Linked DNA regions of Arabidopsis thaliana. The protein of the gene in region 1 interacts with the protein of each later gene in a biochemical or structural test. Each region holds a gene or a part of one and is shown in the gene's direction. Other genes may lie near its edges.

Region 1 (16,876 bases):
GTCCCTGTTGTTTAATTTAACCCATCTTCCATTAGAATACGAAAAAGAAAGAAACAGAGAAGACAATGAAAATGATTGGCTTGATTCTCAAGCTAAGTACCTCGATTTGGAAACTGAGAGCAGAGAGAGCCGTCAAGCTACCTATTCGAAGCCTGTATGTCTTTCCGGGAATCACCGTAAGAATAAAACGCGAACAATCAGCGTTTGAGACGTTACATACTCCAGACACTAAGCTTGGAGGAGTGGTTAGGTTGTTTGAGCAGTTGAATCTTCCTCTTCCTTGTATCATAAGCGACTGATAATATATCCAAATAAGAATCATCCATAAACATAAAATTTGATCGATCAAACAAGAATCTGACTTTTGAGTGATGGAAAAAAGAACTCACTTGTGGCTCACCGACCCACTTGAAGGGTATGGATGCTAAACCGGTGGCTTTCTCTGACATACTTTTGTGATACCAATCAGTTAACAAAAAGTTCCGGTCATAATCGTATGTAAACGGTTCGGGCTCTGTGGCCGGAGGAGAAACTTGAATCATTCCGATTAATCCAGACTCTCTCTGCATCCCATAGTGTGAATGATACATGTATGTACCAGGCTACAAACAAATTTCAAAACTTAACATAAAAACATAAAGAAAGATTGAAACTTTAATGTGAGTTTTATAACTCTTTACCCTATCAACGACAAATTGGTAAATGAAGACTTCTCCAGGAAGAATTGGACATTGAGTAACACCTTCTACTCCATCGAACCATGGAGTCCCAATCTGAAACATATATAAATCAATCTTTTTCAGTCATTCACCGAGTGCTTACGAGGATGTTTACGTACCTGTCGGATTCCATGCCAATGGACAGCGACATTTTCAGTCATGAAGCTATTCTTGAGCTCGACAACGATGGTGTCACCTTGTTGAGCTTTAATGGTGGGACCTGGAAACTTACCATTGATTGTGATTACTAGCTTCTCGAAACAATCCGGTGACTTGAACTCGTACTTCACTTCCCATTTGAATCTCCGGATCTTTCCCTGACAGAGGACGGAAGAAAAAAACAGGGCAATGAAACAGAGGACCATAAGATTGAAGACATGGACTGTGTCTGATGATCTCTTCGGTCTCATCATTTTTCCAATCGTGTCTCCAAGAATCAAAGAAGATAAGAAGCTGAGATTTCAATATATAGTTCGAGATTAATCAATTCATATATACATAACGATAGATCATTGCATGTCATGTGTTTACAGATAACTCATTTGTCTTTTGGAGAAAAACTGGAGAGAAAACGCGTTTCACTTTTCTACGATTTAGTGATAATTTCTAATAATAATACATCGACTTTTATTAGCAAAGTAAAATTGTAGTATATGATTCTGTGTACCTCATGTGTTTTGTAAGTCATAAAAGTCAAGTATGTTCGATGCTTCTACACTGCTTTTCCTTTTTCCGTAGTAAAACCACATTATATTTTGATGTTTGATTGTAAGATTTTTAAAGCCTAAACTATTGTTAAAACAAAATACTTAATCAAATCATTAAATGAATAATAGGTTTTACGGTTTGAACTAGCTAGTTAGTCACTCATTTCATTTTTTAAAAATCTCGAATTTAAATACCTACAATAGAAAATTGAATAATTTACATGTTCATACCCCTTATCCGAAAAAAATATGGGGTTAGGTCTGAAATTCTTTAGTTAATTAAAAAGACTTACTTATTGCAGTACATTCCACATAGACTTTTAATTTGGTCAAGTCTTAGCTCAGGGTCAATGGTAAGAATCGAGAAAAAATCTCTTGGACCAAGTCAGAGCTTAATTTTTTTTGGTCGTTATATTAAATATCTACGTAAAAATCAATGATGTAACATGTAACATGGGGAAAATAATATTATCAGTATGTAACAATATTATAACATGGTATTTATTACCATTACTCCACCATTTAAGTAACTCCTTTCGTTACACGAAGAAAAGTCATAAGACAAAAAATCAACATTGATCAATCGATCCGAGACAAGTTAATTGTAATTTTGGATTTAATTATTGTTTCATTTCTAGTGAATTAAAAAATAAAATATATGAAATCCAAAGTTTGGATTCTCCTCCAATTTTAGTATTTGATCTAATTATTTTTGATCTAATTATAAAAAAATCTTAATAAACCGCCTAAAATCATAATCATATCAAATGTTTTTTTTTAATAAAAAATAATCTAAATTTTTATGCCAAAAAGAAGAATTTAGCGTAATGGTATCTATTGGAAAGACGACCCAAATCCAAAGACCAAACCAGGTTACTTCCACAATGTTCACGGAGTCATCTCCAGCAATGGATCCGGATTTACCCGAATCCGAAACCCGACCCGAATTCAATCCCTCCTCCACTGATTCCACCGCCATGGCAGAGTCAACCGATGCAGGGGAACCGACGGCATTCGAATTAGCCTCATCCCAAGTCACATCCGTCGCCGATCTACCACCGGAACGATTCAATTCGCTCGACGAATTAACACACGATCTCGGCTCGCTCCACGAGCTTTCGACCCGTGGCTCATGGCAAGCGATCCTCGAGAAGATATCTCAAGCCAGAGCTCTCTTCCTCCTCACAAAGCCTCACGAGCATCTCACTTATCTCACTTACCAAGTTATGGCTCTCGCGAAGCTTCGTCGCTCCGATGAAGCTTCTCATGAGCTTAATTCCTTGCACGATTTCGACGGGACGCATTACAGGTACGAATCGTTCCCTGAGATTTACCCTAATCGGAGAGGATCTATGGTTCCTTTCTCTTTACGATGGCTCTACGCTTTGATCCCGACTAAGCTTGGTAATCGTCAGGAAGGGTTAGATCGTTTATATGTTTTGCTTGACTTTGTTCGAGATCGAATCAGAGAGAAAGAATCTCAGAGTTTAGAGAGTTCTGTGGAATTGTGGAAGAAAAGAGAGACATTTGTGATGAATTGCTTGCTAGGGTTTCATTTAGGTCACAAGGAATTTGGGGTGTCTTTGGATTTGATGAAGGAATTGATCAATCGTGATCCGTTAGACCCGGTTTTGATTTCGAAACTAGGGTCTGTTCAGATGCAGTTTGGTGATGTAGAAGGAGCTAAAACTACGTTTGATAGAGTTGAGAAGATGTTGAATGAAGGAAAGAGCAATGGTTTATTGAACGAGATACAGTTCAACAATCTTGTTGGTAGGAATAAGGCTTTGGTTTATGTTGTGGCAAAGGACTATGTTTCTGCTGTGAGAGAGTATGACAAATGCATTGAAAGGGATAACTCTGATATTATCGCTGTCAACAATAAGGCTCTTTGTTTGATGTACTTGAGAGATCTATCGGATGCGATTAAGGTGATGGAAAGTGCATTGGAGAGAGTGCCAACCGCGGCTTTGAACGAGAGCTTGGTGGTGAATTTGTGTAGTATGTATGAGTTGGCTTATGTTAATCATACTGATGTTAAGCGGACGTTAAACAATTGGATTGCACGTGTTGCTCCTGATGACTTTGATTCATCTTGTACCAGAGTTTGAGGTATTGTCTCTGTTCTTGTTTCATTCTTGAATTTTTCCCTTTTTTAGGTTTTGGCATGTCTAAGAACTGATTGGTGATGTTATGATGACTTCGATAAATTGTGAAGTCTTAAGAATATGAAACAATCTGGTTAGGTAGATAAGAGAGATGATATTCTCTAGCGCCCTAAACTTCTTGTTCTCTGTTTTGGTTTCATATAATTTCCATTGGAGGTATGCAAATTGATCATCTAGCATTCAAAATTGCAGGTTTTCATTCCAAACAAAGGTAATTAGTCAAAGAGTTTATGTCTTCAATGATGAAACAAATCTTGGTGGGTTTGGCCTCAGCTGGAGACTCTGTTGTTGCAATTACCGGCTTCAAATTCGTTGTAGTTTTCTGTTGTGTAAGCTAGCAAATGGTTTGTTGCCCCCAAACACTTGGTAACTTCCTGCATTCGTTTTCTCATATTCATCTTCTTATAACGTTTTTTTGCATTTGCCGTTAACCACTAATGAAGAATGTGTGTTCTTGCAACTCTTCCTATGCACAGAGATTTTGGGTAAATCAAATATTTAAAGCCATGTATTTTGAGTTGAATATTCCCGTTGAGAGGATCATATAAGGATCAATAATTTGGGATATTACCAGTTTTTGAGAGAAATTTTCCCTTTCAGCTTTCAGATTCCTTGTATATCTTTATGACAATATCAAAGGAATCAATTCTCGTAGAACATGAATCTACCAACGAATTCTTTCATATAACAACCCTTTTTTATTGGTTTGGAAAAAGCAAAGTAAAGATTCTTACTTTACCCTACAGAGCAAAATTTTCTCCGCGAAGCTAAATAATCCCCACAGTAACCCTCCAACACAAATCTACGCTTAACTTTTATCACAAGAAAACGCAAACCCCAAATCCACAATATATACACATACCTACTCACAGGATTAACAAACCGAACATAAACCAAAATCTGATATGGCGGTCCAAACATTTCCCAACGAAATCGTCTTCTTCGATCTAGAAACAAACGTACCAAACAAAGCAGGGCAACATTTTCACATACTAGAGTTTGGGGCGATCATCGTATGTCCAAAAAAACTCGAGGAGCTAGAGAGCTTCACAACGCTTATACAACCTAAAGACTTGTCGGTGGTCTCAATAAGGTCGTCTAGGTCAGATGGGATCACCAGGGCTAAGGTTACGAACGCACCAAGTTTTGAAGACGTGGCTGAGAAAATCCATGGTTTGTTGAACGGTAGGATTTGGGCAGGTCATAACATTAGAAGATTTGATTGCGTTAGGATCAAAGAAGCTTTCGCTGAGATCGGTAAAGCTGCGCCTGAACCCTCAGGGATCATTGATTCTTTGGGGTTATTAAGTGACAAGTTTGGCAAAAGAGCTGGTAACATGAAGGTACCATTATCCAAGATTCTTTGTAAGCATTAGAAATCTTAGGAATTTATATATTGAAGGTCATTGTGCACTATTTTGTAGATGGCAAGTTTGGCTGCCTATTTTGGTCTTGGAGTTCAAAAGCACAGGTACCTAATCATATATGTTTGTATCTATTACTGTTACGTTTTCCTTAAGGTGAAATAACGCACATATGTCATATAATTGCAGGAGTCTCGATGATGTTCGAATGAATTTAGAGGTCCTCAAGCATTGTGCAACAGTGCTTTTCTTGGTATGTCGTATACTCATAATTCTTTTTTTTCTTTCAAGATTTTTATTTCAAATATACAAATTAACTCATTTGTATATGTGTTTATATATCACCTAAATATACAGGAATCTACACTTCCCAATCATTTGGAAGGAAAATGGCACACTTCTTCTAAGATTATGACAAGAAGTCGAAGGAATTACCAAATAGCCCAAAGGGCAATGCCTTACTCGAAGGGTAGTCTCGAGAAGGTAATTGTGTTTTTTTCCCCTCTCTTCAAATCATAAAGAATTTAAATTGCCGTTAAATTTTGTCTTTCTTTTAAATGTTTTTGTTTAATACAGATGACACAAAATGTGAAGAATCTGTTAAGCAAAGCTCAAGGCAATCAAACTCTCCAAAGCTTGATCAATCATTCTCATTCTTTGCTTAGATGATTACTGCATCCCTCCTAAATGTTAATTTTTTTATAAATAGTTTGAAGAATGAATTTAATTGTATATAATATTTATACCTTCATTGACTCTATTACCAAATAATTCAATTGATATTGTTTATATTTTGTCACTAACAACTTTTTATCTGATTTTTACCTCAAACTTTTATGAATACATCACATTGGTATTGTTTGTCATCTTTAAATATATTTTCTTTTGTCGTATTATCTACGACTTATTAATATTTCAACGTAATAGTTTTTAATATTTTTGTCGTATTTATTCATTTCTATTTAGTTTTGGATAAGCTCTTGATCTTATTTTATAATTAAATATTTCAACGTAAAAGTTTGTCCAACTTATAATCAGTTGTTTTTAATTTAATTTTGGATAAGTTTCTGATCAAATATTTAATTCTTATTCTGTTTAAATTGGAAACAGTTTATCTGTTATTAATGTGAAACGAAACAATGGATAAACTGTTCCCAATTGACAAAAATAATTGATTACTTTATTAATGTGAAACGAAACAAAGTTTGTCAAAAACAAATATGAAACGAAACAAATAAAATATATCTACGTTATTGGGAAGAAGAAAAAAAAATATCTACATAGTTGCAATTAAATTATATATTTTAATACAACTGTTATAATTAAGACAAAATATATATGTATATATATATATTTACTGCTTAATATGTTTTGTTTGTCGTATTATCTATTATTCGTTTGTGAATTTTATTTTGGATAGTAGTCTTTTCATTTACTTAAAATTAAATAATTCGAAACAAAATAGTTGGACATAATCAAGCGTACGAGAAACTTCCAGCACATCAACATCACCCTTTATACAAAATGATTTTTGAGTGAAAAAAAATGAATGTGAAACAAAGAGAAGTATGTGGCGTGGAGGAACACAGACAAAGAGTTTACAAAGGGAAACAAATTATCAATACACAAACGTACGTATGGCCACAACCATGCCTATCAAACTTTTTCAAAGCCATTCCATTTCCAAGGTGTGTCCAAAAACCATTTTTTTTTTTTTTCATCCTCCATAATTAGTTTTTGGATTCAGTTTTTGAAACTTCTTATGTCGACTAGAGCAAGAGCACTATATTTTTATGTAGTTTTTCAAAAATTAGCATTGCTGCAATGAATAGGTGATACGAGAGCCAAGATCACACGTTTAACCTTTAACTTACAAATCATCATAATTAACAACACAAAGATAAAAAGAGAATGATATAAATTCAACAGATAATAAGAGATCTTTTTTAACATGCCACACCCAAATCTGAATATAATGCAACATCTTTAAAAGAAATTGTATTACAAATCAGTTCATATTGGTCCACTAATGAAATGATTCATTGGAAGACCGATGTCTAGAATAATTTTCAAGGCATGTGCAAAAAGTTGGATTTTCTTTCCATCTAAACCTTTCAAATGACTAATCATTATTGAAATAGAAATGAAAGAATCCCGGTTACAAAAGGAAATCAAATTACATATTTTAGGCATCATATAAACTAGTGTAACTTGGAAAAGCTATAACAAATAATTTAAATTTTTAACAAATGTTTCAATTTGTGTTAAAATATTCAAATTTGAAAGTAAAATGTAACTGATATTTTCCTTATGACACATTGCTCGACCATAATCAATTAAATAATATATTCAGAATAACGTCTTTCTAAGACATGAAAAACACGTGAAACAGAGCAGTAGAAAAAGTGTGAAGATGTTTTACAGACAATGATAATCAGTGTTCTAGACTAAATCTTTTTGTTTCATATAGATTCATAGTTATCAATGTCTGGTTATGATACATTACTCAAATGTGAAATCACAAGTATGAATTAATATTATATTTAAGGTATTTTAAATTTCTTAGATATGTGTAAAAATATATTTAAAACACAAATCTTTAAAAAAAAAAAAAACATAGGTACCTTGAAATCATCGGCATTTTGACCAATTAATTAGTGCAAGTATCAATTAATAACATAAAAAATCGTAATTAAAAAAAGGTAATTCACGTGTCAAACCCAGTCAACAAGATTCCATAGGACCCACTTTTAAACGGCGACAAAAAAGTCTTTAAACGGTCGCACTTTTGTTCCAAACGACCGTTAACACCGATATTAACTATCTCACGCGCCAAACGCTACACGTGATTCCTACGGCGACCAATTGACAGCTAAACGTGGTTCGTGTTGTGCACTCTCTTTCCTTCGTAACTGACAAAACACTATCTTTTTAGTAACTGTAACGGAACAAAAGGTCCCATGTTGACGAAACACTGTCGTTTTCCACCAAATTAACGGAACTAACTAACGTTCCCCACAAAAATGTGGGACCCATGAAACAAAAAAACCAAACCAGACTTTGCTATCATCATAACAAAGCGACGCCACGTGTATGGACCAGATATCTGACGTGTCAATTACTATTTTTAATTTTCCGCTCCTCCCTCACGTGTGAGACCCCACACGTGTGGCTCACTATGAACCAGAAGCATCACTAGCTCACATGCATTGGACAAATAGGGACCATCAACCAGTGAAGTGACGCCACGGTGTCTCTATCTCCCTTGCTGTCTCGTCTATATAAACTTGCACGTCTCCGCTGATTAGAAGCACAAAACTCACACCCCAAAACCGATCCAAATTCCGAGAAAGACAACCAAATTTTCCTTTTCCTCTGCAAAAATGTTTATTGAGAGCTTCAAAGTTGAGAGCCCGAACGTGAAGTACACAGAGAATGAGATTCACTCTGTGTACGATTACGAGACGACGGAGGTTGTTCATGAGAAGACCGTCAATGGCACTTACCAATGGATTGTGAAGCCAAAGACTGTCAAATACGATTTCAAAACCGATATTCGTGTCCCCAAATTAGGGTAAAAACCACTCTTTTCCAAAGTTTCATAATTCCTCGATTTCTCCGTCGTTGATGAATCAATTTTGATTTTGTCGTAAAGGGTTATGCTTGTGGGTTTGGGAGGAAACAATGGATCAACTCTCACCGCTGGTGTGATTGCGAACAAAGAGTGAGTCTTTTTGATCAAGTCCTTGATATTAAAATTTGATAATTTTGTCTTTTTGTAATCGGAAAATTGGATAAATAAAACAGAGGAATCTCGTGGGCAACGAAGGACAAAGTGCAACAAGCGAATTACTTCGGGTCACTAACTCAAGCTTCATCGATTCGTGTCGGATCTTTTAACGGTGAAGAGATCTATGCTCCTTTCAAGAGTCTCCTTCCAATGGTTGGTGATTAGCTAGCTTTTAAACAAATTTTTGAGACAGGTTTTCTTCTTAAAGTGTGTTTTAATTTTGGGATCGTTGTGTGGAAATAAAAACAGGTGAATCCGGATGATGTTGTGTTTGGAGGATGGGATATAAGTGACATGAACTTAGCAGATGCCATGGCTAGAGCCAGGGTTCTTGATATCGACTTGCAGAAACAGCTCAGGCCTTACATGGAGAACATTGTGCCACTCCCTGGGATCTTCGATCCTGATTTCATAGCTGCTAATCAAGGGTCACGTGCTAACCACGTGATCAAAGGTACCAAGAAGGAACAAGTCGACCACATCATCAAGGACATGAGGTTACTCTCTGTTCTAGTGATTATTCTTATTGGTTGAATCGAATCTCGTCTGATTATTGATGTGATCGAGTGTGATGTTGAATCTTAGGGAGTTTAAGGAGAAGAATAAGGTGGATAAGGTTGTGGTTCTCTGGACGGCTAACACAGAGCGTTATAGCAATGTGGTCGTTGGGATGAACGATACAATGGAGAATCTCATGGAGTCTGTGGATAGGGATGAGGCTGAGATCTCTCCTTCAACACTTTATGCGATTGCTTGTGTTCTTGAGGGAATCCCGTTCATCAATGGAAGCCCTCAAAACACCTTTGTTCCAGGTTTCATGTAGTTGAGTTTTAATCACTCATTGATCAATCAATATTGGAAATCATGACTGATTTTCTTGGGGGTTTGTTGTAGGTCTAATTGATATGGCGATCAGGAACAATGTTTTGATCGGTGGAGATGATTTCAAGAGTGGTCAAACCAAGATGAAATCTGTCTTGGTTGATTTCCTAGTTGGCGCAGGAATCAAGGTTTGTTTAACTTGCGTATCAAGTTACTCTTTCTTGTTACTGAAAATATTTGTCACAAGACTTTGGTTTCATTGATTGTGTGTTTTTGTTTATAGCCTACTTCAATTGTGAGCTACAATCACTTGGGAAACAACGATGGAATGAATCTCTCAGCTCCACAGACTTTCAGATCTAAGGAGATCTCCAAAAGCAATGTCGTGGACGATATGGTTGCTAGCAATGGTATCCTCTTTGAGCCTGGGGAACACCCGGACCATGTTGTTGTCATCAAGGTAAATAGAGAACCGGACAGACACTCAAAACCTGTTTCTGTTGGCAATCTGAGATCCCATTGATCCAATTTGTGTGTTTGTTTTGTAGTATGTACCGTATGTTGCGGATAGTAAGCGAGCCATGGACGAGTACACATCAGAGATATTCATGGGAGGGAAGAACACAATTGTGATGCACAATACCTGCGAGGACTCTCTCTTAGCTGCTCCAATCATCTTGGATCTTGTTCTCCTCGCGGAGCTCAGCACCAGGATCCAGTTCAAATCCGAGGGAGAGGTTCGTCAGTTCACAGTACATGTTATTTTGGGTTCTCTGTTTTCACTGAACCGCGGTTTTGATGTTTTGAAACATCTTTTTGGCAGGGAAAGTTTCACTCTTTCCATCCTGTGGCCACCATACTCAGCTACCTCACCAAGGCACCACTTGTACCGCCGGGAACTCCGGTGATTAACGCACTGTCGAAGCAGCGGGCTATGCTGGAGAATATTATGAGGGCGTGCGTTGGACTGGCTCCGGAGAACAACATGATCATGGAATTCAAGTGAACATGAAGAAGCATGAATCTAAGACCTTTAATTAGCTCATAATTTAAGAGTCTTTAATTTGTGTCGTTGTTTGGTTTTTATATAATGTTTTTAAATTATGAAAGCTTGTGTTTCTGAGAGACCAAAGAGCTTTTAGTTTGGTCTCTGTAGGGTGTGAAGTAACTTGTATTTGTAGTAATCCGGATGGGTTGGTATATTTTGCAAGTGTGTCTAGGTTGGACCATAATTTCAATATCTCTTATGATTTTGTTTCATATGTTTGTAAAACAGCTTATCTTTTGAGATATATAATCATGGTTTTGGTTCAGCAATTGATCTACAAGTGTATGGACAGCTTTTGTCACCAAATTTGCTCATACCACAATTAGTTAGACGTTGTGGTGTAAATTGTTGTAGGTTTTGACTGAAAACTTGCTCATTCAAATTTTTGATTTGTGTTCCCTGCTATTTTTTTATCACAGTTGAGAAATTTCAATCTAGTTTAGTAGAAGATGGCAAGCAAAAAAATTATAACGTAATGGTCGTTTTCATAACAATTCTATTTTAAATATAATATAATTTGGAGGAATAAATAAAATGTGTATGGACCGATTCTTCATTCAAAAACCATCGAAAAGAAGTTTAAAATATTACCATGGCATCATCAATGACCTCAAATGAGTTTATTCATAAAAATATGAGATTGATGGTCCAAATAATTCAAATTAATTATATATGTGGGAGGATTAATTTAATTAAAGATACCAAATGAATCTGCTTATTTCCCTTGAATTATATATTTATTGATAATTAAGTAATCAATAATTAGTAGTGAAGACAAAATATGATGACTCCGGAAACTCCAACAACTAAGCCTCGAAGTTTGGAGTTCAGAAAACGAGTGAAGAAAAAAACAAATTATATATAAATAATCCATAGACTAATTATAAACCTAATCCTATCTATAAGCTACTGATAACTATCCATTTCCATAAACCATTAATATACAAATCTTCAATTATTGAGCAACGAGACATATGTACTTTAATTTAAGTATCGTTATAGAAGCATTTTTGTGTTCTTAAAAATTGTATTAAAATTTTATAATCAAAATAAATTTTTAATGTAGTAAATAAAAATAATTTTATAAAAATACTTAATTTGTAAAACCATAACGGTCCATGCATATAGTTTTTATTAAAAAAAAAATCGTGTGAAAAATGTCAAAACACATTTATACTGAAGCAAAAAACTGATGTGATTTCAAATGATAGAGAACAAGAGTTCATACTTTCCAAGTACTAATAGATAGCGTTTAGAAATTGTTAGTTCAGATGAGTGTTACCATGGACAAATTCTTATACACTAAAACAAAATTATGATGGAAGAAAGATGGATAAAACATATCTAATCCGAAAAACAAAGAAAGAAATGTAACATCTATAAACTTTTAACCTTTTCACAGCATGTAGAAAACTATTTTACAGCATGTATACGTCTTTTACAAGACTAAAGCTTTAAATATATGTATAAATGAAATATTTCAAAAAAAAAAAAATCGTAATAAGTATCAACTTTGATACGACAGGTTAAAACCATACACACACCATTTCAGTATGTATGAATATTTTCTTATTACATCTTTTTGATTAGTAAAATAACAAATGGTTATTAGGTCATCACTAAGCTTTGATCGGTATGACGAGTGTTCGCATTAATTTACTCTACACCTCTTCATCCCATTACTAATCGCCGGACGCTTTCGTCGTCACGAGACAGTGACCTCCATTTTTAAATCCTTCATTTAACGCTTTTTTCTAAATTTCCACCAATGATTTTCTGGCCAAAAATATTATATCTGTTACTATTCATGTACTACTAGTTATAAGATTATGCAAAATGATGTGACTTTAAATCAAAATAAATACTTTTATTAATTATTATCTTAATTACCGTGAGTTGCATATGGTGTTGGGATCTATTTGCTAACAAAGTCATACTATTAAAACGAGATTCATGGTGTGCTTACTTCAACCTTCACTAGCTCTTAAAGTAACGTATCACGTATGCATAAATTACTCGTTCTTTAACTTCTTTTAGCTAAATGTTTTAATATTACAAAAAAAAAAGTTGTAATTAAAAAGCATATCTTCAAACTAAATAAACCCAGTTTATAAAAGAGACAAGGAAGTGTGAAACTAAAATAATAGGCAGGACATGAAAGATAGATTCATTTCATTTTTTTCTGAGGATTAATTTTACATGATGACACTAATTAATGATTAACAACAACAATCTCTAGTTAAAACACACACAAACTTAAGAGTAATAGTAAATTTGAGCCATGCGTATTTTTATTTTGAAGGTGATAGTACGACGCGGTTTCTTGTTTTCCCCTCGTCGTGCTCCATTTGCTGTTCTCTGCATTCTATGCTACAAAACGCTGCGTCCCCTCTACAATTTATTCACGTTACAAAGAAATATATCAATACTACTTTGTGATACATTAGAAAACGAGGAATAAATCATTGAATCCCTACCATTGGAAAGATATGGTGTTAAAAATAAATTTCATAACTTGGTTGTAGCTTAGTTCCCTTGATTATATTTATAAAAAAAAAACGCTTTCAATTTTGAATGTATTATATAAAACAAATAACTTGTTCAAATTTAAAAAGAAAAATTATTTTAAACTATTATAAATTGAGATCTTAAAACTGAAGACTTGTAAAAATGAAAAATAATTAAGAAAAGAGTAGTTAGTATATGTAAACATACTTGTACATGTAAATATCACGACCCGGAGCAAGACCGCGTTTGCAAAAGCCACAGTTTACAAGAAAAGACGACGGTGAGGATCTCCCACCGTATTTTCTCTCGTTCCTCTGGTGATTTACCGGCGACAAGAACCGCTGGGCGTAATTTTCTCCGCCGTCAACCACCGTCATAGACACGTCAGAGTCTTGGCCGGCGGTCTGATCACCATCAACTTCGATAGTGATCCTCGTTATGCTTGCTGTTCTCTGCATTTGAGGCCGTGGTCGATTCCCTAACAACATATTATTGTTTCTATAAAGAAAAAGAAAAACTTTTTTATTTTTCTCTATAAAATTTAGATTGTTGCTTGGAGAGGGGAATTGTGTGTTACGATGCCAATCAGTTTAAATATAGACGCAATCATATGGTGTATTGATTATTTAATTCGTGCCTACGTATTTACTTGTAATGCTTAAATTTTATATGATATGATTAAAGATACAATTATTATTCGTCAGGTCTTTATAGGTAGGCCAATAATTTCAGATATTTGGTCTGTGGACACCAAACATCCCTCCGTAGCTATATTTTATTTTCGACGAGAAGTGATTTATTAATTTTTTTAAATATGGATTTTACCATTTCTATTCATTTTATAAAATGATATCTCCTAGATATGGTACAAGGAGTAAGGAATTTTTTATATATGATCTTCAAAAGAATGCCTAAACCTTTGTATTTGAGTGTTCATATGATTCAATTCATAAAAATCATGTAGAGCAACATTTCCCAAAAATAATAGTGTCGACATTATAATGAAAAAGTAACATACTGGGGGGTGTGGGTGGGTCTTTAAGAGGCATTCGTACGAAAAGTCAAGGCTTGCAAGATTGCTTCAATTACTAAAAATGTATCGTAGGGATTATAACAGTATCGTACTCATTAAGTGTCCTTTAGACCTTTACTGTTACTGCCACTATTTTCAGTTATAGTAGTACTTGGTAGAACTTTGAGACAGTTATTGTCATGGTAGGATTTGGGCCTAGGAAAAGGGAATAGTGTCATTCACTGTTTCAAAGTTTTAAACTTTTGATAGACACTATTATACTATATTACTCTCCATACCATCTTACAATATGCAACAGCCCATATCTCACTTTTAAGAAATGTTAACCTCCATTCTTTCTTGTCCCTTGTCACATTCTAAATGAAAGTTATAAAGTCGAGATATTTTAATTTTAATATGTAGAGAGGCTAAATAAAGCCCACGTTTCAAGGAGTCGTTAGAGAGACCCTCGAAACTAAACAAGAGTGATTTGCTCAAACCCAAAGACAATTACACGATTCTCCATACAAAAGAGTTCCCTCCCTTAGGTGGCCCAATTACGTTAAAGTAGCTTAACCTAAACTTAAACCGAATTATTTTTAATAAGCGTTTCTTTTTGCCGTAGACTTTTTTTAATTTTTTTGAACCTAAATTATAAAATTTTGAATCCAATCTTTAGTAGAGATGACTATGGAAGATTTAATAATGTAAATCGAAAATCACAAAACTAAATAAAAGCAGGAATATATACGTTAAGCTTTTGACTTGGTTTTCCCTCCCTCTCTTTCCCCAGCTCAATCGGTCCATTCACAACCATAACCGAAAAAAAAAGAGTAACTAGGTTTCACATAACTCTCGTAGAATCGTACTGTAATCCAATTACCGAAGTTAATAAATGAGAAGAAAACAAAAATATTCAAAGTGTGTAGCTTTCATGTTCATATTCAATAAAGAGTAAAGACCATAACTACAGATTTTGTAGCATCTAGAGAGAGAGAATCTGAAATTGTTGCTGCTAGGATTTTCTCACTGCTTTAACTTTTTATTTTCTAGCTCAGCTTTTGAAGTAAATGATCTGTTTTGGAATGAACTAAAATCTCTGCACTTTTTTTTCCTTTACTAATGTTTTATCTTCTTCTCGTAAAACGATGCAACCAAGACAAAACTTCTCCACACCCTCTCTCTCTCTCTCTCTCTCTCAGACCATTTTGTTCAAGATTTGTCTGATCAAAGCTCCTTTTTCAGGTTTCTCTCATTGAATAAGTATTTTGGATTCTTCCTTATATATAAATTCCCCAACTACTCTCCTTTCCGCATGGTGATAGCTACTTCTCACTCTGTTCTTCTTAATTCTCACAAACGCCATTAAAGGAAAACAAAACAAAACCCCAAAGACTTGTCATTTTCTTTTTTTTCGAAATGAGTTCTTTAGTTTGTTCTGTTTTGTAACCACCGTGAGAGATTTCAGGGTAGAACAAATCCAAAGTTTCGATTTTTATTAAGTTTTTCTCAATGGGTCATTCGATATTGGAGAAAATGGGATGTTCAAACTCGAAAGCATCGATGAATAAGAAGAACGAGCCGCTTCATCTATGCAAAGAAAGGAAGAGATTTGTCAAACAAGCTATGGATTCCAGATGTGCTTTAGCCGCTGCACACGTGTCTTACATCCGTTCACTCCGTAACATCGGAGCTTGTCTTCGTCAATACGCGGAGGCGGAGACTGCTCATGAATCATCTCCGTCGTTAACCGCCACTGAGCCTGAGAAATCTCCTTCTCATAACTCCTCTTACCCTGACGATTCGGTTGACTCGCCACTGAGTCATAACTCGAATCCAAACCCTAACCCTAAACCCCTTTTCAATCTAAGTTACATGAAGACGGAGACGGCTAGTTCTACTGTGACTTTCACTATTAACCCTCTGAGCGACGGTGATGACGATCTGGAAGTGACAATGCCGGCGTTTTCTCCTCCTCCTCCGCCGCGTCCTCGCCGGCCAGAGACGTCTTCTTGGGACTATTTCGACACTTGTGACGATTTTGATAGCTTTAGATTTGTAGGGCTAAGTGAACAAACCGAGATTGATAGTGAATGTGATGCAGCAGTTATAGGATTAGAGAAGATTACTAGTCAAGGGAATGTAGCAAAATCTGGTTCAGAGACATTGCAAGACTCGAGTTTTAAAACAAAGCAGAGGAAACAGAGTTGTGAAGATAATGATGAAAGAGAAGATCCATCGGAGTTTATCACACATAGAGCCAAAGACTTTGTGTCGAGTATGAAAGATATAGAACATAAGTTCTTTAGAGCTTCTGAATCTGGAAGAGAAGTTTCAAGAATGCTTGAAGTTAACAAAATCAGAGTCGGATTCGCCGATATGACAGGTATGAGTTCTGTTTTCATTGTGTAAATGGCTGTTGAAACCTGTTGTTGATTCGTGAGTGTTTGTTTTGTTAACCAGGAAAGGGAAATTCAATAGCGTTTCTTGCAGCTTTGAAGCGAGCTTGTTGTAGAGGGAAAAGTTATTCACCAGTTTCTCAAGGTAAAGATTTATCATTTACCTGTGTCTTTGCTATTTTTGGTTTTAGTGTTCTGAGTTAAACTTTAATGTAGAGCCATTGAGTCATCAAGTTACTAAAGTCATTGTGTGGAAGAGAACATCGTCGTCAAGATCCTCCACTTCTAGAAATCCGTTGATCCAGACATCAAAAGAAGATCACGATGATGAAAGTGGAA
Region 2 (16,055 bases), on another chromosome or scaffold:
TCCCTGTCAACATTGGCCAGAGCTGATTTTGCTTCCTGTGTTGAACTTTCTAAAAGAAAAATGTGTCCTTCATATTTCTGAACTCTTTCCACGACAGGCATAGAATAAATGGTAGCATCCTCTTGAACTATAACACACCTACTGATGTCAAATATACTAATGTTACCGCTCCTTTTCAAAATTGCAAGGGCGTGATCAGACCACCAAGTAAAATCTACGACATTTCTTAAACTTTCTTTCCAACTTTGTAGCGACTTATCTGGCTTCAGTGAATCAGAACTGTCTTCAGAAGGACAGCACGAAAGTGTCAATCTTGCTTTATCTAACTGGAAAATATGCACGCACCCATTGCTATCAAGACTTGCAACATGTGACCCTTGAGGGGAGATTAAAGTCTTTGGATATGCCAACTGATCATCTTTGTTCTCACAATACACGCCATCAAACTTTGTGGTGGACAACAATTCCAGACCTAAATTCTGACACTTACGCCAAAGCGAGATACACGATGAACCTGAAAGTAAGTAAATTAAAACATTAATTATCGCAGAATCATGAACCTAACATCTCTGTTCATCGGAAATATTTCAACAACCACATTTTTCATTCAACTATCACAAACACTGATAAAGTATAGGTAGCATTCTCATATAATAGTACGCAGCTATGGTTTGCCAAATTGAATGATTTCAAGCAAGTGTAGCTTTTTAATTACTCCTAATTCCAAACTTTCCTCAACTAAAATAAGTTGTATAAAACTTACCAGAACTCCCTGACGATGATATGCCTGCAACACTACCAACAATGAGAAGAAAAGAAAGATCTGGATGGTAATCAAAGCAGAAAACGTGGTTGGGGAATTGCTTTGAGACACTATTTGAAGCATGCTTGGAAAAGGCAGAAGCACTTGGCTCCCTACTGATCTCGACATGATGAATACGTCCATCTGACGTAAGTATACTGAACGAACACCTGCAGGCAAATTATCATTAGCACAGACCACCAGTCAAAATTTCATATCAGCCGTAGACCTTAAGCAAACAAGTATACTGTAATGGTCAAGGACACATTAGGATCCCAGAGTACTCCTTTAGTCTGTTTTTTTTTTTGAACAAAGTACTCTGTAAGTCTTAATCAATAAGAAATATGAACAGAAGGAAACGTACAAGCATGATGGTTGCAAATCAGAGTCGTCCTCCATTAATCCTAATACTGGTGCAGAAACCTTCAAGTTTCTTTTTGTGACCTGACTTATTTCTTCGCCATTAGCTCTGATGAAAAAGAGGGTCTCACTATCATCCACAAGACCAAGAACATCATGTTTTTCGGACCATACTCCAGAAGTAAATGAACCTGATATGCTGGCTGATGCAGAATACAGAAGTTAGAGGACCATAGCATAGACATCAAAGGACCATAAGTTAAGAAACAGAAAGAAGGAAAACGGTATTGTGAGGAGAGCATATTTTTTTAATGAACAGAATAAATGACTGGTACAGTCTAAGGTTTCACAAAACGGTGATTCCACATACTAAACTTAGAGAGAAAAAGAAGCAAATGCAAGTTTTATAGGCGTTTGTTATCAGAGTAAATCAAGTAGATAGTTTTTGACAAGATAAATGCAATATTCTACAAATTCGTTTATTGAGTGTGCTATGGCAATGACCCCGAAAAACATAATCAGGCAAACATTTGTGAAAGCAAGGGAAGATATGCCAGAATTTCTTACATGTAAAATTGCCACAAGGTTTCCTGTAATCATCATCCTTTCGCAAGATAGTAACGTGATTTCCAGAAGTGACAGCCACAAGTTCTCCTCTTGGTGAAATAAATAACGACACCGGCTTATTAGTTTTTTTCGGATTCCAGTATTCACTCCACTTTTCCTTGAGTTGACTAACACCTTAATACCATAAGAGCACAGAGATGAAGAACCAATGAGCTATACTGCTAATTTAATGAAAAGAGATGTACACAAACATGATTCCTACAAGCTCATAAAACCAAAGATTCAAAAATCACAGATCTCTGAGTTAACCATCTGCGACTGACCTTTGATGGAAACAAGTGACCGAAGTCCTCCTTTCGAATTAGTTCCATCTGCCTAAACTTGGACAGCGGATCAAAGCGTAAGATATAAGTAAAACACTAAATTGTATAAGCAATGATGAATCTTGTACCTGAGGAAGAGGAGGATATCTAGGAACATAAGGCAATGAAGCATGATGACGTATCTCATACAAAACTTTTCTTCCAGGACTTTCCATGATCAATCGAGATCGATCCTCACAGCAGTTTCTAGGAGAAGGAGATCTAATTAGCAGGAGAGAGAGAGAGAGAGAATCAATATAATTTTCTTCACACCCTAACCCCAAAACATCAGCACTCTCGTCGATTTAACCATAAAGTTTGAATTAAACCCTTGACTAATTACTTAATGAATTAGTGCATGGAGATGAATTGGAAGGTGTGAGACAAGATTTGATGACATACCTAAGCACGATTTGGTAATTACGCTCAGAGAGATCGGCGGCGAATTGAGAAGAGAGAACGCAGAAATTAATGGTGTGGCGAAGATCCGGCGGTACGACCTCCTATGGTGGTGACTGTAGAGACTGTGATGAACAAATTTCACGAGGAAGGAGACGAAGACACTATACGACCGGTGAATGTGAACTTCGCCGACGAGCAGAGAAAGTGATGACGACTCCGTAAAAAAAGTTATACATACCTTCTGAAATCAATCGGTTCGGTTCAATTTAGCCAAGAACCGTCCGGTTCAACCATGAAATTAATGTTCTCTTGTCTTATTTTCTTTATACGGCAGATAGGCAATCCAACCGGTCGGTCCAAATTTAAGAGACAACACCCTATGAAACTATTAATTCCGATGTGAATGTGCCCGTCGAATATCTGACTCACCGGATTTTCTAATAAGTCTAAAACATATTTGAAGTGAGCAAAGAAGAGTGAACTAAATACTTATTTGATCTACATAGTTTCGTGTTGGGGCAATTGATCTCTTGTTTAGGTCTACAAGACAACTCTTCCTCAAGTAGGAACACTGATGCTCAAGAAACGCTTTCCAATTATACCGGTTAATTCATCTGTCGCAAAGATATCATTTTCGAGTTCATCACCGTATTTGCTAGTGAAAGAAAAAAAATGGTTGAACAAGAATTCAATGGAGAAAATTAGGAAGAGAGGTAATGTTGATTTGATGAGGTTAAATTTTTTGCCTAACTAATGAACTAGACCAATCCAATCCACAATACCTAAATTTGGTATATCATCATATTTAAAATGCATGAATCTACGGCTAGAAAAGCCATCATCTCAAGAAAGCATATTGAAAATAATATTCCACTTTGAAAATTATGCAAGAATTTAACTGGTAAATAGAAAATACTACAAGTCTATTCTTCTCATAAGATAGTAATGTGTTCAACTTTGTAAAACAAACTAAAACATTTGTACACGGTTAATAACCTCTGGAACACATGTGTGCAAACGACACAAGTTACAAACACATCTTGTTTGCTTAGAGACGTTTGATATAAAATAAAAACATTTGAGGAACTGAGGTAACGAGAGATTGAACACTTCACCAAAATTGTAAAAACCCAAAAAAAAAAAAAAAAAGTGAATCACTCACTCAACTTGCATACTTCCATGAACTTCTGGACTGCGTTATGATACTGAGTTCCCTGAAACCACATAACAAACATTAAATATGTCGGACACTGACTATTAGAGACAGAACAGATCAGAGCTATATAGGAAGTTATGAATCTTGTGGAGATGATTTCTGCTCTAAGACATGAACACATGAAGATGTTTTAAAGAAATCAAGATTCAATTCACCAACTAAGACTTCATACAAATATTAATTGGATCACTGATTTGATAAATATCGTTAGGCAACTAAAATTTGACTGTTCAATCAGCAAAACAACTAACATAGATGGACCAGATGATTTTTTGACACAAGGTATACTCGTTCAAGAACTATAATGCACAACGGCAAAAGATGGGGTAGGTGACTTACCTCCCAGTATAGTTGATGGCAGTTCATGCACTGCCAAAACTCTAAATTTTTGTTAAATAAGCAGTTGGGTATTCTTTGGAAACCCTTTGCTGCTTCAATAGCTTCTTCAATGCTTAGAGGTTTCTGAATAAATTTCCCATTGCACTTCGTACATCTGGACATCAGCTGATTTCCGCTGATCTTTAGCTGGAAAGTCTCTATCACCTGCGAAGCTTATTTGTTTCAGTAATTCACAAAAAATCCGTAATCATTCTACTGAATGTAAGAAAAGTGGTTGCACAGTGAGTGGACGAGGTTATTTTGGCTCGGTGAATCCAAGCATGCCATAATTACAGGTAGTGTAGAAAATGTTCCACCCAGAAAGTAAGGTTAAAAATAAATTTGTTAACTAGTGTCTTGAGAGATCCTATTCTTTAAAGCAAAATTTCCAGGGTATGTGTCCTTTTTGATTAATAAATCTAGTAAACCAAATCATGCCACATCACAGATCTTGCATAACAGCTTATACGTTGAAAATTAACTTTGTTTGTACCTCAAGTAGCTGCTCATTTTTAAGAAGACTCTTTACTCGATATATTTGATGCTTTGCCAAATCCTGGTGTCTCAACAATTTTGTATCTCTTGTTAATAGAACTCTGTTCTCTTTGAATGCTTGATCAAGCAACTCCCTGGCATTTGTGTCAACATCACAATTAGAAAATCAATCCTATACAGATATTGTGATCAAAACCCCATGTCACAGAAAAACTTTAATAGCAGCTTTAGGATAAAGTACCTTGAATCCGGCTTCTTTGAGTGTGGGATTGCAGCATCAATCCCCACACAACGTAGATGTTTCGCCAAACCTTCAACCTATAAAGTAGTTTTACAAGAAACTGATTATGATACCACATGGATTCTACTGAAAATGGTTAGATTCAAAAACAAAGATACTAAATAGGTGAAATCAAATTCTTGTCCTCTAATTAAATAAAACCAAGAAACAAAAGAGCAACAGAAAACAGAAATTGATTCAAATACCATCACATCCAATAGAAATTTAGGGCAGCCATCACCGCCTAAAGATGAGTCCCATGGCGGTGGACCTTGCCAGTCCGCAGAACAGACCAACTGCTTATTTGTGTTCATAGTGCTTGAGGCGACACGTCTTCTTGTTTTCTTCTTAAGTTTCTTTGGTAGAAGATCAGACTCCTTCAACAGGATCCGTTCTCCAAACTTCCTGACAATCTTCAACAAATTCTCATCCATTGGCATCGTGTTTAGTGTCGTTTTTCTTGGAACCACTCCATTGGCTATGTTTTGACCATTTTCCGACATTGATCTGATTACATCTGTAGCCTTGCAAAGTTTGACTGTGACAATCTTACTGCTATAGTCCGATTCAGTCAGAATTTCTTGTAAGCCAACATTTATCACTCTAAGATCTTGCACTGTGATTCCTTCAACAAGATGCGCCTCAAATACATCGAATATCTGGAGCAGGCAGTGAGCATCTGTGGCAGCGTATAGTTTCTGTTCTTCTGTAAGAGGACGATATGACCAATCACTACATTGAAGTTCCTAAAGAATAAAAACCTGTTAAGAAAAGCCTTATTAACAGTACGTTTCACGAAAAGTCAAATTCTTGCAGGAATCATTGACAAACCTTTGAGAGAGAGATGTCCAGCATTTCCTTACATATAGCAGCCAAGCTCTTGATATCCTTTGGCGCCTTTCTCCCAAACCGCTTATGTTGCAGATAATTGTATATGCTTGTAATATCCAAGTATTGTTTCACCTATTCACATCAACAATCACAAACATAGAGTTTTAAAGCAACATAACCTAAAAAGGCAAATAAAAGAAAAACACAATTCAACAATCTACTTTCAACAGAAGTCAATAAACACACAAATCAATACTTACCTATCTATAAACACCACACGTGATCCAAACACAAGAACTTTAAGTACAAGAGAATATAACAGAGCTAAAGGTTAAAACTTTGATAAGAATTCGACTACAATTAGCTTAAACTAACACTACGAAGCAAAGTTCAAGACTTTCAAAAGCAAATCACCTCTTGGAATCCACCTTCACATCCATGTTGAGTAAATGTCGAAGACAAGTAAACCAAATCCTGTTTAAACCGAAACCCTAGTTTCAGAACATCCGGCGACACGAACATATCATTCAACAGCTCCCAAACCGATGGAAGATGAATCGAACTCAAATCAATGAGGAAGACATCGGAGACATCCGTGGCGTGACTGAGTCGGCATGCGACTTGGAGGAGAGTGACGGTCGGAAACGACGACGTATTGGAGTGTTGTGGCTTCCATTCGGCGTCTAAGGCGATGATCGTAGAACGAGTGAAAGACCATTTCAGGTGAGTGAACTCGGACGAGTCGGTGGATGAAACTAGATAGATCTTTAGATTGGTCTCCATCGTTCAAAGAGCAAAATCAATTTAGTTGAAAGTTACATTGAAGGAGAGTCTTATGTCGGTTTTGGTTTGTCCGGTGGGATAATCAAATTGAACCGAACCGAACAACCAAAATATATGAACCGATCTAATCCTAATTTCTCAAAATCGGTTAGATAAAACCAAAATAAACCAGTCTGCAAATCGGGAAACCGTAACAGTGGCGCCAAATTAAAATTCCCCGGGAAAATCCGGTGAATCCAGAGCGCGAACTCTTCTACTCAACCTCGGCTAGATCTCACATTTATAATCTCTCACTCTCTCTCTTTCTCTGGTAAATCAATAAGTGTAAGAATGGTGGCTGTGAGGCGAAGGAGAACACAAGCGTCAAACCCTAGATCCGAACCACCGCAACACATGTCGGATCATGATTCCGATTCCGATTGGGATACAGTCTGCGAAGAATGCAGTTCCGGTAAACAACCAGCAAAGCTGCTTCTTTGCGACAAATGCGATAAAGGGTTTCATCTTTTCTGTCTCAGACCGATCCTCGTTTCAGTTCCCAAAGGCTCTTGGTTCTGCCCTTCTTGTTCCAAACATCAGATCCCTAAATGTAAGCTTTTTCACTATACCCACATGACTCTAATTTCAAAGCTTCCTTCTTTTGATTAGGATATGTTTATTGTTGAGCTTTAGATTTTAGGATTCTTCTGGGTTTCTTGATCTCTGTCTTTGATTTGATTTTGCGAATTTGATTCAGATTTAACACTACTAGATCAGGTTTTGGATTACACTGTTGCTGAATTACTAATGAAAAGTTTTGTAAATCTGCAGCTTTCCCTCTTATTCAGACTAAAATTATAGATTTCTTCCGGATTAAGCGGTCTCCAGATTCATCTCAAATCTCAAGTTCTTCAGGTATGTAATTTTGCAGATTAGAAATCTAAATCCCTAGAAATATTAATCTGAATAGTGAAATGTTTGCAGATAGTATTGGGAAGAAACGGAAAAAGACTAGCTTGGTGATGTCAAAGAAGAAGAGAAGGCTTCTTCCATACAATCCTAGCAATGATCCTCAAAGGAGGCTAGAGCAAATGGCGTCTCTGGCCACTGCGTTGAGAGCTTCCAACACCAAGTTCAGCAATGAGCTTACTTATGTATCTGGAAAGGCTCCAAGATCTGCAAACCAAGCTGCTTTTGAGAAAGGAGGCATGCAGGTATCTATCTTAAGTTGATATGTATTGCTCTTGTTCTTCAGTCACATCTATATGATTGGTTTGGTGATTCTTAGGTTTCTTGAAAGCATTCATTGTTGGGTTAAGTATCAACAGAAAAGTTGATTTTGTATTTAATTTCATACAGGTTCTATCTAAAGAAGGCGTAGAGACCTTAGCCTTGTGCAAGAAAATGATGGACCTCGGTGAATGCCCGCCACTTATGGTCGTCTTCGATCCTTATGAAGGGTACTTAACATTCTTATTAGCTTCTCTTTTGACCTTTATAACCAAGAAGAGAGTAGGAAAATGCATTTATCAATGTATAATTATATTGAAGTCTAATTTTTTCTATCTGAACAGGTTCACAGTAGAGGCGGACAGGTTTATAAAAGACTGGACAATTATCACAGAGTATGTTGGAGATGTTGATTATCTGAGCAATAGAGAAGATGACTATGATGGAGACAGTATGATGACTCTACTTCATGCCTCTGATCCTTCGCAATGTCTCGTAATTTGCCCTGACAGACGCAGTAACATCGCCCGGTTCATCAGTGGCATCAACAATCACTCACCGTGAGTTTCTCTTCTCTTCTATTTGGTTCCTTAAAGTCGACTCTCTGGTCACAACACCTGAGCTCCATGTTTTGGTCCTGCTTCTGAATTAGTTGGAACCATTCTAGTATTGCTTGTCCTCATTGTGTATTTGTTGACATTTTGTGAATTGCAGAGAAGGGAGGAAGAAGCAGAACCTGAAGTGTGTGAGGTTCAACATCAACGGAGAAGCTAGGGTTCTTCTCGTAGCTAATAGAGACATATCGAAAGGGGAAAGATTGTATTATGATTACAACGGATATGAACATGAGTATCCAACTGAACATTTTGTATAACCCTGTGAATTTCGTAAGAAAGGTCAACCTATTAAAAAGGTTGCTTGTTCATCAAGAAACAACCTAAAAGTGTTTTTTGTCCTTCCTAATGCTTTAACTGGGCTTTTAGACCATGAACCAAAGCCTTACTTCAAGTTGGATCAAAATGTGAAGCCTTGTCGGAATAATTGATGTTCTATTTGTAAAAAATACACTAGAAATGGGAATTGAATTGAAGAAAATAAAGATTGTTGGTAAGGAAAAGAGAGAGTAGGAATAATGAATGAAATAGAATGGTCCAAAGAGCCTAAAGACTAAAGGAGTCTGACAGTACCTTCAAGCGACTATGAGAGTTTGCATCAAAAAAACCATTCCTTTGTGATTCCTTCAGATCACTGTGGGACATAAACTTCCTTTTGGATCCCACACTTACCATTTTTCATCTTTTTTTGCATTCTCCAACAAATTTATTCAATTTTAATGCATCGTACATACCTAAGAGACAATTTGATAAATATCTCGACATTGATTTATTGAACATTTTATCTTTCATCTTTTAGCTCTCCATCAGGATATTATAAATTTGGCTACGGGAGCGGACATATCATATTAAAATTGATTACTAAGTATCAATTTGACGTAGGAAGCATAGATAAACCTTGGATCTCTTAACATACGCCTCAAAACAAGTTAATATAGGACCAAACTTTGGTCAGTAGCATTATGATCTTAAACTGTCAGGATGGACCTTAGATACTATAGAATCTCAATAAAATTATTTCAAAAATGACTTTCTTATTTAGTTCATTTAGTGATTAAATATATAGATGGATTCGGGTAATCTCACGGGTTTTAAACTCATTTTAACATATATAAACATAGTACTAGCCCCCAACGATATATAGTCGAAACACATATCTATCCACCAAACTCTTTTTGATAGGTCGATCAATATCAATGATTTGTCTACACTCTACACCAAACAACTGATAGTACATATAGTCGTAAATCATATAACCATTTCGAATCTAACTTACAAGGTTGGTGTCTTTCATATGTTATTTGTTTTGGTGAGATTCAATTAAGTTCCACAGAAATTGGTAATGATTAGTAGGGGGTACTGTTGATTATACGTAAAAGAAAGGGTGTAATTTCTAATTACTTAAGAGTTTGGTGCCTTTAGCAGTAACAATAGAAGATGTGAGAAAGATGGAAAAAGAAAAACCATACAAAGGACACCATCACAAAATTTACAAATCCTAATTTTATACAAAATAAAACATACTCAATACTAATTCTTTTTGCTTAACATCAAACGGATTACTTTGTTTCTTTTGGAAAAGTTTAGTTTCTTCTCAATGCAATTAAAATTATTTATGTTTATAATTTTATGGAGCCCATAGAAAAGGAGAAAGAAAAAGGGTAAATAGTTGAAGGCTTATTATCATTAATCAAGTAAGTAAATAATAATATCTAAAAGGCTTGTTCCTGAATTTTACTGGATAAATCGTTATCACGTGATTTACGCCACTCTTTCTCTAATCTACGTGATGTCATGAGTAACTAAATACTATCATTTCATTGTGTTTTTTCTTGTTTACTAATTGTGATTTAGTTTCTTTGGCTAATTTCAATTTCTTTTCGGTTAGTAGAGCATTTGTCTTTCAATCTTTTCTGACTTTTGGCCTTTTCTTTTCACAGAAATTTATTTACATTGAAATACGTATACTTTACATTATGGAACCTATATTTTGTTTTAAAATAAGTATCATTTTATATTTTTAATGCAATTTTGATGTAAAAAAAGTTACAGTTTTTATCTCCACTAATTTAATGCATTAATTAATTATTAAAATTATGTTGATGGAAGAAAAATAGAAAATTTATCTATTTTAAAAATGTGTGCCAAAATCTTAAACAACACTTATTTATAAATGGATAGAGTTTTTTTTTTTACGTCAAAACAATTATATTAATCAATTAGGGTCATTACAAAAATATCGATCAAGCCAAATAGGTAAAAAACCAGAACCAGAATAAAAAGAAGAATAGGTACAACCATATTTCGCTAAGACATGAGCTAATTTGTTTCCCTTTCTCCTAATAAAACCAAACTGAATGCTTGCAAATTTATTTGACCAAAAACGAATGTCCTCCAGGTGATTTGCTAAGGAACTGTGAGACGAAGTCCCATTAATTAAGTTAATTAGCGTCTGACAATCGCCTTCTATAAGTACTTGTGTGTATCCTCGAATCCAGGTTTGTTGTAAAGCCGCCAAAAGAGCTTTGGTTTCTGCCTCAAGCGGATTATTCGTGTGAGCCAACTTTATTGAACCCCATGAGATTGGTGTCCCGTAATGATTTCTGATGATCCAACCTCCTGTAGCTTCCAACTTCTGTAAATCGAAACCAACATCAAAATTACACTTTACATATGTGACTGGTGGATTTCTCCATAAATGGATAGAGTATTAGATACTACTGGCCACTAAATTATATTTGATTTTTAGTAATAATAAGAATTTTGTTTTGTTGTATTTTCTTTTTAATTAGAATATTAATTGCAATAATTTTCTTTCTATATCTAAAATTTGGTCACTAATTATCCTTCATCTTTATAATTTTTCCTACATCTTCTTTTTGTTTGCATCGAACAAATCGAATATTTTGTTCTTTATGATTACTATACAATTGTATACCACAGAAGCGAAGCCAAACGGCCAACTTTAATTTTGGTTTCAAATCGTAAAGTAAATTAAAGCAAAGTATAAATAGAATTTTGTCGTTAAGGACTTAGGTTATCAGACTAACCAACTATTACCGACATCATTATTTTCTCTTGTTCCCTTAACAAAAAGCCAAATATCATTATCACATTGAAAACAATATATATCCGTGCAAATTTGATTATTAAATAATCAATGTCGGGCTGTCTTTTAATTAGGGTTATAATAGCTAATCAGTGTCTCCCCTCTTTGTCCCTACGTTAGGGTTTCTAATTGGGATCATAATCATTTCTTTCTCTTTAGAAAAGAAAAAGTTATGCTACATACGACATCACTTTTCTAAAATGACTTAGTGATCCAAAGTATTGGACAAAAACTTTTAACCTGATGAGCATAAACACATAAAAAAAAAAAAAAATCAATGTCCTAATATTGGACAAACGACTAAATCGAGTAATCCACATTATTGTTTTTGTCAATAATCCTTCTTAAAAGTTTAAATCTCCTAATACATTTTTCTTGTTTAGTAATGTATTTGTCTCTTTATGTTACTTAGTTAGAGACTTATATATTTTTCAAAATCATTTTGTTGGCATTTTGAAGAGTGGTATACATATAATAGTTTGATTTCGTACCAATAATTTAACGAATTAGTCATTTAACTAAGTAACTAATTACGAATAACACGACAAACATATGAAACAACAAGTTTAACTCCATCAAGTCACGTTACTCCAAATAGTTGGGATTGAGTTAAGGACTGAATCTTTGTCGAGTCAATTGTTGAAAAAATAGAGAGAACCAGTTATGTGAAAATATCCAAAGTTCAAGTTTCTCAGGCTCATACCACAAAGGGTGAATTATCATCAATATGCTTTTATTTCAGTGAGACATGTAAAATGGTTAACATATTACTCAATAACTTTATCCTTTTTACTGTTTTTATGAAATTTCATTTTGCTTTTAACTTACTCTCCTTTTGATTCTTTGTGTGTAATTGTCGTTGATTAAGGTTAAATGATGACAATAATGTTGGCACGGGTGAGATCAGGTCCCATTTGGTTACCGACGTTTACTATTTCTCTACTTTTAATTTAATCTTTAAACCCGTTTGATCAAAGAGACTTATTTGAATTGATCTTTGAAACAAATCGCCAACGTTGGTTTAGTAATCATATTTCAAAAAGCATTATAATTGTGTTTGAAATGTAGACATAATAGTTTAATGGATTTCTGCCAAATTGATAGGAAGTTTACTTAGAATAATTTAATAAAATTTGACACAATTGACAGTGGTTTTGACTTTTAAGACTAGAAACAAAAATCTGAGTTAGCCAGATGATTTTCATAGGGAACCACTTTTCATAAAGTATCGGAACATTACTATGATGGGGTCTCTACTATGATTCCATAAATTTAATTTTAATTTGCTTTTTTCCCCCACTAATTAGAGCATAAATGTAACAGCTGACTTTCTGTTATTTTAAAACATTTAATTATACATAACGGTAGGTACCATAGTTAACAAACTTCAGAATTGTTTTTTACTAACCTTTCTATATACTTTTACTATAGATGACTAAAAAATAAGTGATTCTATTATTCTGTCAATATATACAAACTTTTTTTTTTAATATTAGAAATTTAAGTATAAAATGTATATTTAAATTTAAATCTGTATATTATTGAGTTAGTAACAAGAAACTGGACAAAAATAATATTATTTAAATCACATTTGTTTAGGAAGTCTGTCAATTGGGTCTTAACCCAATTGGTTTATGTGATAGTTAGAAATGCAAACTAAGAACAGACAATGTGGTGGTCCTTTAAGAAGAAGTCCACTATAAAGTATATCGGTATGTTTCTATCGAGATTTACCGAATCAATCGACAAAATTTATATATAAAAAATGATATTGTTGCTAACGATCCACTCTCATTTTGTGGCCTAGGAGTCTATTTTTGTTATCGTAATTACCCGAAAAAAATACTAAAGAAACTTCTTAGAAAATAGAAATGAAATTCTGGAGGAGTTGTGTCGGGCTCCAATATATGGAGACAAAAACTAATTTTACTAATATAGTAATATGGACAAAATTTGTGAGCTCATCTTGCATCAAATTAATAATTATATTGGTTATGTTTCGCTCCAAATTCTCATATTTGTCTCTTACCTAATCTGTAAAACACACACACGTAACGCGTAAATAATTAATATCTAAAAATAATCAGTTCAAGTAGTGATATTCAAAGACTTTAGACCAGTAATTATAGTAAGAAAATTTGATTGGTCTTTAAGCTTTCTTTATAAAAATAGCTTATAAAATATACAATTTGCAGACTTATATATATATATATATATATATATTATATAACCATTTAATTTTAAAATCAATAAATTTTAAAACAAATCATCCCACAGTATATTGTGGATTAAAATTTAGTATACAATAAATTGTCTACATAGTAACAAAGCTTATATGTATCTAATTCTAGTAAGCACTTTTGATTAGATTCTTCTTTTGATTAGTTGTTTTTTGTTTTTTGTTTTGTATAAGCTTGGAAAAAACGCATTATAGATAAATCGTATATGCAAGCTTGAAGTACCTAACCCACCATGATTTCATTTTCCTATGAACTTTTCTTATTTGATTTTGGTTTTCAATTATTTAACCATATATGCTATATGCTTGACCGTTCTCAAATTCTCACTAACGTTAACCAATATATTTTTTCTAAACCTAAAAGATGGCTAAATAAAACTTTGGCATCATAAAAATGTCAACTATGAGCATATCTCTCTATTTGAGAGTTTGCTTAATCCAATCTTAAGCTTATAGCTCATGTAAGATGTTACTATCATTTGACAAGTTTGTGCAACATTTGATGAGTATTTTTTTTTTTTGTTTTTTAATATACTTCACATAAATGAATACATTCAGTTGATAATCAGAAAAAGGTTACTAGAATCATTTTAAAGATTACTCTTCTAACTGCCGCACATTTACTTTTGTAATTTGGAAACAACACTAATCATCTGTCTACTACCGCTAGATAAGCAAGTATTTTCTTGTTTCCCCAAATGGTTTGTATCCTTAGACATAAATGGTCTTTTTGAGAGTTTACTAACATGTGGGCAGTTTTTTGGGATTTCTTGAAAAGTGATTGCAAAATGAAATCATCCATGTGACATGTGAGCAATGAAGATGAGAAAGAGAGTTGGTTAGAGATTAATTATTTATCAATTCTCTTTGTGGAGCTTGCTAACGTATTGAATAAAGCCTAATACTGTATACAAACCAAACTGTAGAAATGGACTTTGTAATTGTGGTTAGTCAAAGTTCTCTTTTACTATACTTCTTTGAAATTTATGCAGTGTCTCTTTATCTCTATACATAGATATATTGATTATAACGAAAAATTTAAATTCTATAAATCAAACAATCATTTTTCTATTTATTATGATGCGTAAGTTGATTTGGTCACCAAAATCATGTTTTGAGTTATTTTATAGCATATTAGAATGACAGATCTTAGGTAAGAGCATGTATTACAAATTTAAATTAATTTGACCTATCTAACACCTCTGAAAGTCAATTTTATAAGCAAAATATTCTATTGTTCTTTATCGAATGTTAAGCAAACATTCTACAAAACTCTTACAAAATCAGTTTGATAGTAGAGCGAGTAATCATCTAATAATCAATAATAAAAACTCAAAAAAATACTATGACACATCTTAAAATTTATTTTACTAATAGCAATTCAAGCTGTTTAAATAATTATATTGGTTTAACGAATTTAAACAAATTTAATAGTATAACATTCTAGTGTTAATCTAAGGAAGTACTTGCATAACCATAATTCTTTTCTCTTTAAATTAATATTCAGAAGATGTGAATTATGGTGTTTTTTATTAGGATACAAATAAACAAACTCATTATAGTATTTGATAATTCAACAGTCTCTCTCTCGTGTGCTAGATTTGTTGTTTCTTGTTTGACTAGATTAGTAATACAATACCTTTAAATATAGTATTCTTATAATACATTCCACATTTCCGTCTATATATTATATGCTTTTATTGGGAAAAATAATAAAACAAAAAAGTAGAGTTGAAATAAAATATAATTAAAATGACGGTAGAGATGATAAAAATTAGAAAAAAGGAAGATAATATAATTAATGTGTCCGCACAAAAAATTAAATGTCCTTCCCAAATCAGATTCGGACAATCTTCTTCTAAACTATAATTATTATTTCTCTTCCTTCTTCTTCTTCCTCTGTGCCACAGATTCTCTCTTTTTCCTTCATCAAATCTACGCTTCTTTCTTTGTCTGACAAAAAAATATATATCAAAATCAACTCTTTTTTTTTTTCTCTTGTTTATTCCAGAATCTGTATACATAACCAGAAAAATAAAATAAAATAAGAGACAAGAGTGAAAAGAACAAGTTCTTCTAGATGTTGTTGTTGTTGTTGTCTCATGGGTTCTTCGTTTTCTGAGCTCTTCGACATCATAAATCTCCACATGTAAGAAAAATTAATACTTATGAAAGAAAAATAACCTTTTTATTCATCACGAAATCTGCATGTGTTTTTTTTTTTTTTTTTTTTGATTGATGGAGCTTTGGTTTCTGGTTTTAATGGCTTCGATTTTGCAAAACGAAAAAAAAAACTCAATTTTTTCGATTCAGATTTTGATCGGGATCTATGTTTGTTCGATTGATTATAATTTCTAGGTTTATTTTTGTAAATTCCATTTTTCAATGTTCTTATCTTCTTCCTCTGA

Evidence for each region.
Region 2: the proteins of MIPS1 (region 1) and ATXR6 form a complex in vitro, tested with the Arabidopsis thaliana proteins (one study listed by BioGRID).

What each region holds. Positions count from the first base shown.
Region 1 is NC_003075.7:18,463,359-18,480,234, reverse strand, and holds MIPS1 (myo-inositol-1-phosphate synthase 1), read left to right. Parts: upstream 1-8,186; 5' UTR 8,187-8,341; coding exon 8,342-8,532; intron 8,533-8,613; coding exon 8,614-8,682; intron 8,683-8,765; coding exon 8,766-8,901; intron 8,902-8,997; coding exon 8,998-9,245; intron 9,246-9,333; coding exon 9,334-9,560; intron 9,561-9,642; coding exon 9,643-9,758; intron 9,759-9,853; coding exon 9,854-10,030; intron 10,031-10,118; coding exon 10,119-10,307; intron 10,308-10,393; coding exon 10,394-10,576; 3' UTR 10,577-10,980; downstream 10,981-16,876. Other genes in the region: AT4G39830 (Cupredoxin superfamily protein), read right to left, coding at 1-4, 101-295, 390-602, 681-773, 839-1,132; AT4G39820 (Tetratricopeptide repeat (TPR)-like superfamily protein), read left to right, coding at 2,254-3,537; AT4G39810 (Polynucleotidyl transferase, ribonuclease H-like superfamily protein), read left to right, coding at 4,500-4,937, 5,019-5,065, 5,148-5,211, 5,316-5,441, 5,535-5,627; AT4G39795 (hypothetical protein (DUF581)), read right to left, coding at 12,910-13,009, 13,334-13,614; AT4G39790 (bZIP transcription factor, putative (DUF630 and DUF632)), read left to right, coding at 15,651-16,524, 16,602-16,682, 16,754-16,876. UniProt on the Arabidopsis thaliana protein: Key enzyme in myo-inositol biosynthesis pathway that catalyzes the conversion of glucose 6-phosphate to 1-myo-inositol 1-phosphate in a NAD-dependent manner. Catalyzes the majority of myo-inositol synthesis required for plant growth and development.
Region 2 is NC_003076.8:8,287,749-8,303,803, reverse strand, and holds ATXR6 (TRITHORAX-RELATED PROTEIN 6), read left to right. Parts: upstream 1-6,644; 5' UTR 6,645-6,806; coding exon 6,807-7,065; intron 7,066-7,286; coding exon 7,287-7,370; intron 7,371-7,439; coding exon 7,440-7,669; intron 7,670-7,814; coding exon 7,815-7,915; intron 7,916-8,029; coding exon 8,030-8,245; intron 8,246-8,399; coding exon 8,400-8,559; 3' UTR 8,560-8,694; downstream 8,695-16,055. Other genes in the region: AT5G24350 (neuroblastoma-amplified sequence protein), read right to left, coding at 1-514, 764-972, 1,167-1,365, 1,730-1,903, 2,053-2,104, 2,181-2,267; AT5G24340 (3'-5' exonuclease domain-containing protein), read right to left, coding at 3,956-4,252, 4,581-4,716, 4,824-4,900, 5,069-5,608, 5,694-5,825, 6,108-6,476. UniProt on the Arabidopsis thaliana protein: Histone methyltransferase that specifically monomethylates 'Lys-27' of histone H3 (H3K27me1). Has higher activity on nucleosomes containing H3.1 than H3.3. Involved in the formation of constitutive heterochromatin and the silencing of heterochromatic elements.